Linked DNA regions of Mus musculus: regions 2 and 3 are each reported to be linked to region 1. Evidence: microRNA targets listed by miRTarBase, many of them from high-throughput screens and not tested one by one. Region 1 holds a microRNA gene; each other region holds the end of a gene's coding sequence.

What was found. Region 1 holds the annotated microRNA mmu-miR-105 (CCAAGUGCUCAGAUGCUUGUGGU, at 1,051-1,073, shown strand). A microRNA usually pairs through its seed, bases 2 to 8, with sites in the 3' UTR of a target mRNA and lowers its output. Matches are read on the target gene's strand: a 7mer-m8 pairs with bases 2 to 8, a 7mer-A1 pairs with bases 2 to 7 and ends in A, and an 8mer does both.
Region 2: miRTarBase lists Nhlrc2 as a target of mmu-miR-105. Seed matches in the 3' UTR shown: 7mer-A1 at 1,125-1,131.
Region 3: the mRNA of Chek2 is a reported target of mmu-miR-105. Seed matches in the 3' UTR shown: 7mer-m8 at 2,881-2,887.

Annotation. Positions count from the first base shown.
Region 1 is chrX:72,589,620-72,592,619 of GRCm38, reverse strand. Mir105 (microRNA 105) reads left to right here and starts at 1,041; the gene lies at 1,041-1,120. All of the region lies in intron 1 of Gabra3 (gamma-aminobutyric acid (GABA) A receptor, subunit alpha 3), which reads left to right. It overlaps Mir767 (microRNA 767), which reads left to right and starts at 2,526; the gene lies at 2,526-2,632.
Region 2 is chr19:56,596,889-56,600,243 of GRCm38, forward strand. Nhlrc2 (NHL repeat containing 2) reads left to right here. Exons shown (of 11, transcript NM_025811.3): 11 at 368-1,958. The coding sequence ends at 624. Among named protein-coding and RNA genes, the nearest start is that of Nhlrc2, 50 kb to the left of the region's middle.
Region 3 is chr5:110,873,230-110,876,584 of GRCm38, reverse strand. Chek2 (checkpoint kinase 2) reads right to left here. Exons shown (of 15, transcript NM_016681.4): 15 at 2,445-3,105. The coding sequence ends at 3,019. Among named protein-coding and RNA genes, the nearest start is that of Ttc28, 4.9 kb to the left of the region's middle.

The sequences.
Region 1 (3,000 bases):
CTGAACATTTAGCACAAGGTTTCATTTTGTACCGTTTACCTCTTCTCTTGACTGAAAACTTTATTTTGTTTGTGGATGTTGAATTGAGCTTATCTTTCTGTCTCGACCCACTACTGTAGTTTATCTGATTGCTTATTATATGTGTACACTATCAACCACTATTGTTATCTGAAGATACATGATGGAAACTACTAACCCATCCTAAGTATAAAAGACAAAAAAATTCATGATTTCCTTCGGAATATAGAATGATTTGCATTAGTATGAATATTAGTTGTAATATTGTGGCCAGTAGATCTTGTACAGGGAAGGATCCCTCAGTTTATGCTGACTGCTCATATACAGTTTCTATTATCAATACTAATAGTTGTTTCTTCATATAATGGGATACCTTTGATTTTTTTTTTACCAGAAACAAGCACAAATCCACATATGCCATGGCCTGATTTCATGTAACTTGATTTGGTTTCATTGTCATCCTCTTGAAGCAGAGGTATCCATTGCTTATATACTTTTCTTATTAGCATACCATGTCTGAGTAATAATCACATCACGGTTTATTTCTGTAATTTGTCGACATGTACTGGTATTACAATTAGTAGCCTGTGTTCTGTAGGTGTACGGCTATATATTAGAAACATATATTCCAAGACTTTTTCTTACATTTTAGTCATCTAAGCATCCTATACTATTCAGTTATTCTCTTAGACCAATGGCATGCATTCATTCTTTTAATAAAGTTGAATGGAGTTTATTATTTTATTATTTTTGGCATCACATGCATTTCATTTTTCATATGTGAACTGAGTCATTATCCAAAATGGTTACATAACTAAAAATTTTCAGTCACGTGTTTGAAGTTGTTATACGATTTGTATACATAATGACAGTCTGTTTTTTTCAGAAATGGAATATTTTGCTCCTTTCATGTTAATCTGTACACTGTGTGCTTTCCTACTAATATGAGTTTCTCTCTCCTTTGTCATTGATGTCTTCGCCTGTAACATGGCATTAACACCTGTTGCAAGATGCTCTGTGTGTGCATTTTAGCCAAGTGCTCAGATGCTTGTGGTGGCTGCTTATGCACCACGAATGCTTGAGCATGTGCTATGGTACCTACTTTTACAACATTGCCATCTGCTTCTGGAACAAAGCCATTCATTACTCTGTTTTTAAACCATGTTCCATGGCTGTCTGTCAGGTGACTCACAGCATATTGTCATTTATTATTGTACTTAAAACGGTGGGCGGTGAAGCCAAAATATTTGTGTTTGAATTTGAAAGTATTGATTGTTAACTGTGGGGTCTTGAATACCTCAAATTGCATTTCTGTTCTTTTATTTCCACAAAATGCCAAAGATGTCTCATAAATCTGTACATATTAATACATGATTGCATTTCCAACACTGAGTAGAATGTTGTGAAGTATATGTGACAACAGTAATGGTGGTGCTGATATGATATTCCTTGATTTCTTGTCATGGGTGCCAGTCTCAGTTCTGCAGCTAATGTACATGTCTTTATGGTAAAACAATGATACTTGCAATAGTGTTTTTTTTTTCTTCCATTTTTTATTAGGTATTTAGCTCATTTACATTTCCAATGCTATACCAAAAGTCCCCCATACCCACCCACCCCCACTCCCCTACCCACCCACTCCCCCTTTTTGGCCCTGGCGTTACCCTGTACTGGGGCATATAAAGTTTGCGTGTCCAATGGGCCTCTCTTTCCAGTGATGGCCGACTAGGCCATCTTTTGATACATATGCAGTTAGAGTCAAGAGCTCCGGGATACTGGTTAGTTCATTATGTTGTTCCGCCTATAGGGTTGCAGATCCCTTTAGCTCCTTGGGTACTTTCTCTAGCTCCTCCATTGGGAGTCCTGTGATCCATCCATTAGCTGACTGTGAGCATCCACTTCTGTGTTTTCTAGGCCCCGGCATAGTCTCACAAGAGACAGCTACATCTGGGTCCTTTCAGCAAAATCTTGCTAGTGTATGCAATGGTGTCAGCGTTTGGATGCTGATTATGGGGTGGATCCCTGGATATGGCAGTCTCTACATGGACCATCCTTTCATCTCAGCTCCAAACTTTGTCTCTGTAACTCCTTCCCAGGGTGTTTTGTTCCCTATTCTAAGGAGGGGCATAGTGTCCACACTTCAGTTTTAAAGACTGTGGCATAAGCTTATGCAATGGAGTGCTGACTCTCTTTGAATCAATGCTATCTGGAGTATTCTATTAATCATAACATGATTATTTTCTGCTCTTCTATAATCATTTTTCCCTAATATACTTGACCATCTACTCTTAAGCTATAGTCAAACTATTTGCTTGTAATGTCTGGAAATACACGTTGGTGCAATGCTTCATCATCAGAGAATTGTATGAATATATGTTGTGTTATTGCCTTTAGCATCATTGCCATGTCTTGGTGGCCTTATGAATGCTACCTTTATTCTCATCTCTTGTTTATCTTGGCATATTCCCGTGTTATTTGTTCCTGTATCACATCTACTTTTGTATTATAGAATCCATATAGGTTTTTACTCATGCACCATGGTTGTCTGAGCACATAACATGCTTGTCTGCTCATACCCTATGGTTCCTGAAGAGGAATCTTAACTGTCTACTGCTCTATAGGAAAACAGTGTTTTATGTATCAGTTTATATTTTTGGTTGCTTTTTCCTAGTACATGGACCTCTGCTCCCTTAACATACTGGTGTTTTTCCTGTACCATCTCTATCTGTTCCAATTCTATGGATGTTAACTTGCCACTAGACTTCCTGTGCATCATAGTCCAGTGCTCAAATAAATCCCATGCACTATGACTGCTTAAGCATGTAACAATAGTTTCTCATGTGTTTTATCAGTATGATCTTCTCCTAGTCTGAAGGGAACCATGATTTACTAATTTCAAAATGATTCCATGTCTACTTGTTATAGCATAATTTTTAACTTATACATATCACAAAACTATATAACTAAGCAGCATGATCAGAT
Region 2 (3,355 bases), not on the chromosome of region 1:
ATATGTGTATGTATTATGCATGTGAGTGTGTCCACATGTATGAGCACACATGTATGTATACATGGACATTCACATGTTTGAGCATGCATGTGGTTAATGCCATGTGTCTTCTTTGATCTCTCTCCACCTAAAATACGGAGAAATGATGTCTCAGTAACCCCGAGCTCACTGCTCTGAATACTTTGACAGCTGTGGGGATTCCCTGTCCCAACTCCCGTGTGGGGATTTCAGATGGGCGTCACATAGACCCAGCACTTACGTGAGTTCTAGGTGTCTGAATTCTGTCTCTCACACTTTGCCCATCGCTGTGCCTCGGCCTCTTGTATTTTTTTTTTTTATAGTCTTAATATTCTCTCCTGTTTTCTAGGCAATGAATGGCTACTTCAAGAACAGACCCCATCTGGAGACATAGAGAATATTTCCAATCAGCCGGCGATTTCCCTGCAGATTCCTACCCATTGCTTGTCACTGGAAGCTGTGGTGTCTGTCGTCGTGTTTCTTTATTACTGCAGTGCAGACAGCAGCGCATGTATGATGAAGGGAGTCGTGTTCAGGCAGCCTTTGCAGATAACCAGCACCCAGCCAGCTTGTGCAGCTCCTGTAGAGCTCGCATACGCATTCTAGAAGGCTGGCCAGCAGCCCTCAGCACAGGCCCTGTCCATCCTGCCATTCGTCGCTTAGGGAAAAAGCATTATAGTAACCCATTGCTCAGTTGTAACAACTGATACCAAAATAAAGCTGTGCTCCTTATTAGTATTTTAATTCTAAACAAATTTCTTCATTTTAGCTGTGTGCTAGCCAAGTCATTGACCATCATTTTACCACGGCACTGTAAGCTTTGCTGTTATTTGTTTTAAAAGCAACAGTCCATGCTATATCAGAGAGTATTATATTTGTAGTCAAAACTAATCATGCCAGATAGTTTAAATAACCTGCCTTTATCAGTAGTGGTTATCCATTCGTGTGTAAATTTCCAGTAACTTGAGATGGGCCTAAGCTGTGCGCCTTTGTGTCAGGATACCTGCTGTTTAGTGTCTAAGGTCTGCTTAAAGCCAGAACAGAAAGTATTCACTCGGCACAAACTCAGCGTGTATGAGTAGTTACTTACCTCCGGTGATTTTTCTCACTTGAGGTATTTTTAAAAGAGAGTTTTAATCTATTTTTATTATAAATTATTTGTTTTAACATTCTATTATTAATGCCTTATAACTTTATATAAAAAAGAAAAATATAGAATTTCTAAAGGCATGCAGACCTACCTTTAACTGTATTTAATGAGCATAATTCCTAGCAGGCAATGCCTGGCTCCCAGAGGCATGCTGACCTGGGTGTGGGTGGAGACTGCTGTGTTGCTGTGTGTGATGGGTTATTGTAGTGGCTAGGCTGGCTGTCATGAGCATCATGCTATTTTGGAAATTTAGATGTCAGTTTTAAGAGTTAAGTAACAGAATTGTTGGGTTTGAGATTTTTGTTACTGTTTTGGTTCCCATATTTAGAATTTAAATTATGATCATTAATTCTGATATTTTGAAAAATCACATGTAAACCTTCAATTTGCTATTTTCAGGGTATAGTTATACTAATACACTTTCATTTAAAATATTAGGGCTGAAACACACAGTGATTTACTGATACTGTTTTGGTATGTGTTTTCTTTAACCCCGTAAGAAACAGCACTGGAAGGGATCCTGGAGAGGTTTGGTTTTCATTGTTAACTTGAATTATCATAGATTATCATCATAACTGTTTAAGAGCCTTGCTCTTCTAAAACTGAGTGGACATGTGTTTTACTAAGACTACAAGGTTTCAGAAGCATTGTCTGAGCCCCACCTATAAATTTAATAAGCATTTAAGCATAGTCTACCTATTTATTAGTTAATTTTTGCAGTAGTTTTTGATAGGTAACATTTGCTTGTTTTATTGTTCAGTTAACTAAAAAAAAAAAAAAATCTGAAGTGAAAACTTGCTGACTTCCGTTATTAACTTAGAAATGCTGTTTCTCAGGAGCAAGGCGAACGTGAAAGGGAGGGGTCCTGTTTAGAGTTGCCCGTGGTTACCTCAGAAACCTTTGCACCTAGAACCAGCCAAGGCAGCGGCTCTGCAGCTCCAGCCTGGAGCTGGTGGTCTGTGGAGGGCCTCAGAGCGCCGCAGCCCTCGTTGATTTGTTGGATTCCTCGTTTATTTCCAGTTGGACGGGATGAGAATATTTTGGTTCAGTCATTTCCTGTTTGAGGACATAAACAGTTTCACTCTCTAAAACAGGGTATATACAGTTTAGCTTGTGTGGAAATTATTTTTCACTCTGAAAATACAAGCATGTATTCTGTAGTTTGATGTACCTTAAAAATCCCAAAATATTCTTTAACTCCCTTGATTTTCCCTTTGCCTGGGTAGGATCTTACTTGAGTCTTCAGTGACTGCGGGGATCTCGGTGGCTGCACACCCCACCCACCTGCCTCTCTGCACTGCTGGTCACAGCAGAATGTTAGTGGGGATGGACGGAGAAGGTGCTCAGTGAGCAGAGTGCGCTTTCCTAGGGTCAGGACTGACACAGTGTCTGCCAGGAGGAAACCTTGGTCACAGCACTTCTGGAGCTGCAGCGTCTCCTGTCCTCTCTGAGAGCCTTGTAGTTGTCCTGAGACAACTCTGTCTGCCTTGGGGCTCACACCACTGAGATAGGTTATGTGGGCCTCTGTTTTGCAGTGTGGGAAATCTAGGACTTAATGAACATGTGTAACCATGGTTTCTCCACATACGCGGAACTGACTGTCTTTCTCCATCCAGGGAAAAGTCTTCAGCTTCTGCCTTTGCCTCTGGCTTGGCAAAGATCAGAGTTGTTAACTCATTTGGAAGATGGTTCTTTGCCGTGCGCAGAGGCCCTGGGTTCAGTCCTCAGGAGGAAAATGAAATCACGAAAAGCTATGTTTTGTAGTGAACAGTAACATAAAGCCACGTGCAGGGGCCGTGTCACCTAAGCTCTAAATGAGCAAGCCCGTGCTGTCTCACTGAAATTCTACCTCTGAGAATACTCAATGGCCAGTACTTTAGAGAGTAATCTAATCTTCTCAAAGATACTAAAATAATCTGAATTGTAAGCACTAATAATTTTTCTAAAGCCACTTCTGTTACCAAAGATGGGGGTCTATTTAGAGTCCTTTCATTTACCAGTTTCCTTTAAAATTGTAGTTGGTGAGGACAGGGATAATTACGGTGTTTTATTGTTTAGCATGGTATAGTGGCAGGAGTATAGACTCTAGCAGTGTCTTGCCCTGCAGAGCTGGGCTGCTGGACCAAGCCTGGGCTTGCCGCCAGGCTTCAGTAAAATGCTCCCACGGCATTTAGCAGGGAGTAATTT
Region 3 (3,355 bases), not on the chromosome of region 1:
CTGTGTGCATTATTGGAATATTACTAAATGCATTTTTTTTATTTAAAAGGTCTCAAAATTAAGATGAGTTCAACTCAAGATGGAGTTTGCTTTTGGTTTTGGTTTAATGTTTGGTTTATGGAGACAGAGTTTCTCAGTCCTGGCTGTCCTGGAACTCACTCTGTAGACCAGGCTTAGCCTCAAACTCAGATCCACCTGCAGCTGCCTCCAAGTGCAAGGATTGAAGGCGTGGGCCGCCACCATGCTGCTTAGCTACAGTTTTGAGGTACCATAAGGATGTTGGGAATTGAACTCAGGTGCTCTTGGAGGAGCAGCCAATGCTTTTCAACTTTTTATTTATTTATTTATTTTTGTGAGTCTCACATTATGCACCTGCACCCCAATCTCACTCATCTCCCCGTCCCTTCACATCCCCCTCTTCCCTTGCAACTTCCCCACAAACACACCCCATGGAGAGCATTTTGACACGGACACTATAGTGTGCCAGGGTGTGTTCTACAGTATACCTACCCTCTTGTCCACACATCTTGCAAATGTTCATTGCATTTAGTCACTGGTCTGGTTTGAGTCTTCTTGCTTCTGCAACACTATCAATACTGGATCCTCACAGGACTCCTCTTAGTTATCCTGTTGTTGGCCTGGATCATGGAAATCCTGCAGCTTTGGATCTGTAGGACCAGCCCTTGCACATGCTCCAGCAGCTCATAGATGAATTAGATTTTGGGGTGGGACAACTCAAAGCGCTGGATCTGGGTGGTAGCTGAGACAGATGGCTAGCCCACCAGCTCTCTCATATCTGCACCACCAGGGCAAGCTTTCTAGCACTGCCCTTGCTAGCTCACCCAATACTGCAGCTGGCAGTGAGGGGCTGGGCCAGCTCTCCCACTCACTCCCTCAGAGCTGGCTGTTGCCCAGACAAGGTGCAAGGCCACTCTCCCAAGTCCTGCCTGTTCTCATGACCTAGGACCTGCCTCAGGTGTTGAGGGATGGGGGAGGGCATCTCCACTGCACCCATGTCCCATCATGGCAGTGGGGCCAGCTCTGTGCTGCTCCTGCAAGGTGGAAGGCCTGCTCTCCTGATTGCTGCAGCCAGTCAGGGGTGGGGCCAGCTCTGGATATCTGGATATCAGCCCTTGGATATCTATGAGGTCTCTCCCACACAGCAGCCCAGACCAGGGAGGTCTGCATGGTCTATGTAGTAATATGATCCAAGAAATCAACAGGCCCCTGCTACTACATGACCACAGACCCAGACATGACCCGCAGTGACAGCATGACAACCAATGCTCTTAACCACTAGAGAGACATCTCTATCTCCCCCCTTACTTCTCTATATGTCTACCACATGGATGGCTGGAGGACCCAATTTAAAGCAGCACTCTATCACCTGCCTAAAACTGTTGGTGGGGTGGGGGTGGGGGAGATATTAATATCTGAATTTAATGTAGCCCCAGGAGTTTAGAGATGTAAACTGTACAGGACTGAGCATAATTTCTGTGTTTTATCCATTTTTTAAGGCAAAAGTCTCACTATACAGTTCAGGCTGCCCTCAAAGTCAATATCTTACTATTTCTGCTTCTCAAGGTCTGGGATGGATTACAGGAGTGTGAGAACCCTAAGGGATATGAATTTCAGACTGGCCTATAACAGGCAGCAGCACCATGGGCTCCTTGGCAGCCAGCCAGTACAAATCACCCAACATCCAGATGCCCTTTTCTTTCCAAGGGACTGAGTGTGTGTGTGTGTGTGTGTGTGTGTGTGTGTGTGTGTGTGTGTGTGTGTGTGAGAGAGAGAGAGAGAGAGAGAGAGGGAGAGGGAGAGGGAGAGGGAAAAGGAGAGGGAGAGAGTATGTTTAGAGAGAGAAAAAGAGTTTAGAGAGAAAAAGAGAGTTTGGAGATAGAAAGTTTAGAGAGAGAAAAAAGTTTAGAGATGAAAAGAGAAAAAGTTTAGAGAAAGAGAAAGAAAAGTTAAGAGAGAGGGAGAGAGAGGGAGAGAGTGTGTTTAGACAGAGAAAAAGTTTAGAGATAGAAAAAAAGAGTTTAGAAATAGAAAGTTTAGAGAGTTTAGAGAGAGAAAAAGAAAGTTGGGAGATAGAGAAACGAGAGAGAGAAAGAGTTTAGACAGAGAAAAAGTTTAGACAGAGAAAAAAAGAGTTTAAAGATAAAAGAGAAAGTTTAGAGAAAGAGATTGTTTCTCTGTGTACCCTGGCTGTCCTAAAATTTGCTCTAAAGATCAGACAGGCCTCAAAGTCAACTCAAACATTGTCCTGCCTCTAGAGTGCTGGGATCATAGGTGTAGATTACCATGGCCAGTGGGACTTGGACCTTCTAAGGGACTTTTAGAATTTGTATTTAGACGGATGAGCCTAAAACCAGAGTGACATCCTGATAGGGCAGACTGGCAATGTGAGGATCCAGATGAAAAGCCACAACAAACTACTAACATTGTTTTAGAATATTCTTTTTAATGATTATGTGTTTCTGTGTACATGAACACATGTGTAGTAGGTGACCAGAGAGGCCAGGTGAGGGCATCCGATCCAGAAATGTAGTTACATGGGTGCTGGGAACTGAACTGCAGCCCTCAACAGGAGTGGTGTTAATCTCTCAACACCACCCCCTAACATTTTTCTTAAAATGAAAGAAAGAAAGAAAGAAATCTAAAGTGCAGGTCATCAAACAATCAGCCCAGATTTCCACGTTTTTTAATCGTGTATCTGTGATGGAAAAGCAATTGTTCCATCATATAGGCTATTTTGTTTTGTTTCTTGTTTGTTTTTTTTTCCAAGACAGGGTTTCTCTGTGTAGTCCTGGCTATCCTGGAACTCACTCTGTAGACCAGGCTGGCCTTGAACTCAGAAATCTGCCTGCCTCTGCCTCCCAAGTGCTGGGATTAAAGGAGTGGGCCACAACTGCCTGGCTATATTTTTTAAAAAATATATACATATAAAAAAAAGATGTCAAGATGGAGAAGACAATTGGAGCGTGGAAGGAAGCACATTTCTTTCACATTCAAAGCTCACAACACAGCCCCACACACAGACAGGCGTTTTGTGCTCGGCATACCCTCCACCTCCAGTTCCAGGGGCCGCTTTTGACTGGAAGTCTGGAAATAAAGCAAAAGGAGAAGTGTTTAAGAGAAAGCACAGCTTCTATCAAAGCTCCTCATAGTTCAGTAAACTAGGGGCATTTCATGGAAATGACTAGTTGTCATGACAACCGAATCCTCCTCACACACCTCTGGAATCAAGATGCTTATCCATGCTCCCTGGCGATTTCTAACCACTAATAAATGTACAGCCACTTAAAAAAAAAAAAAAAACCTTTCAAGTGACACAAAAGCAAGTTCAAATTGG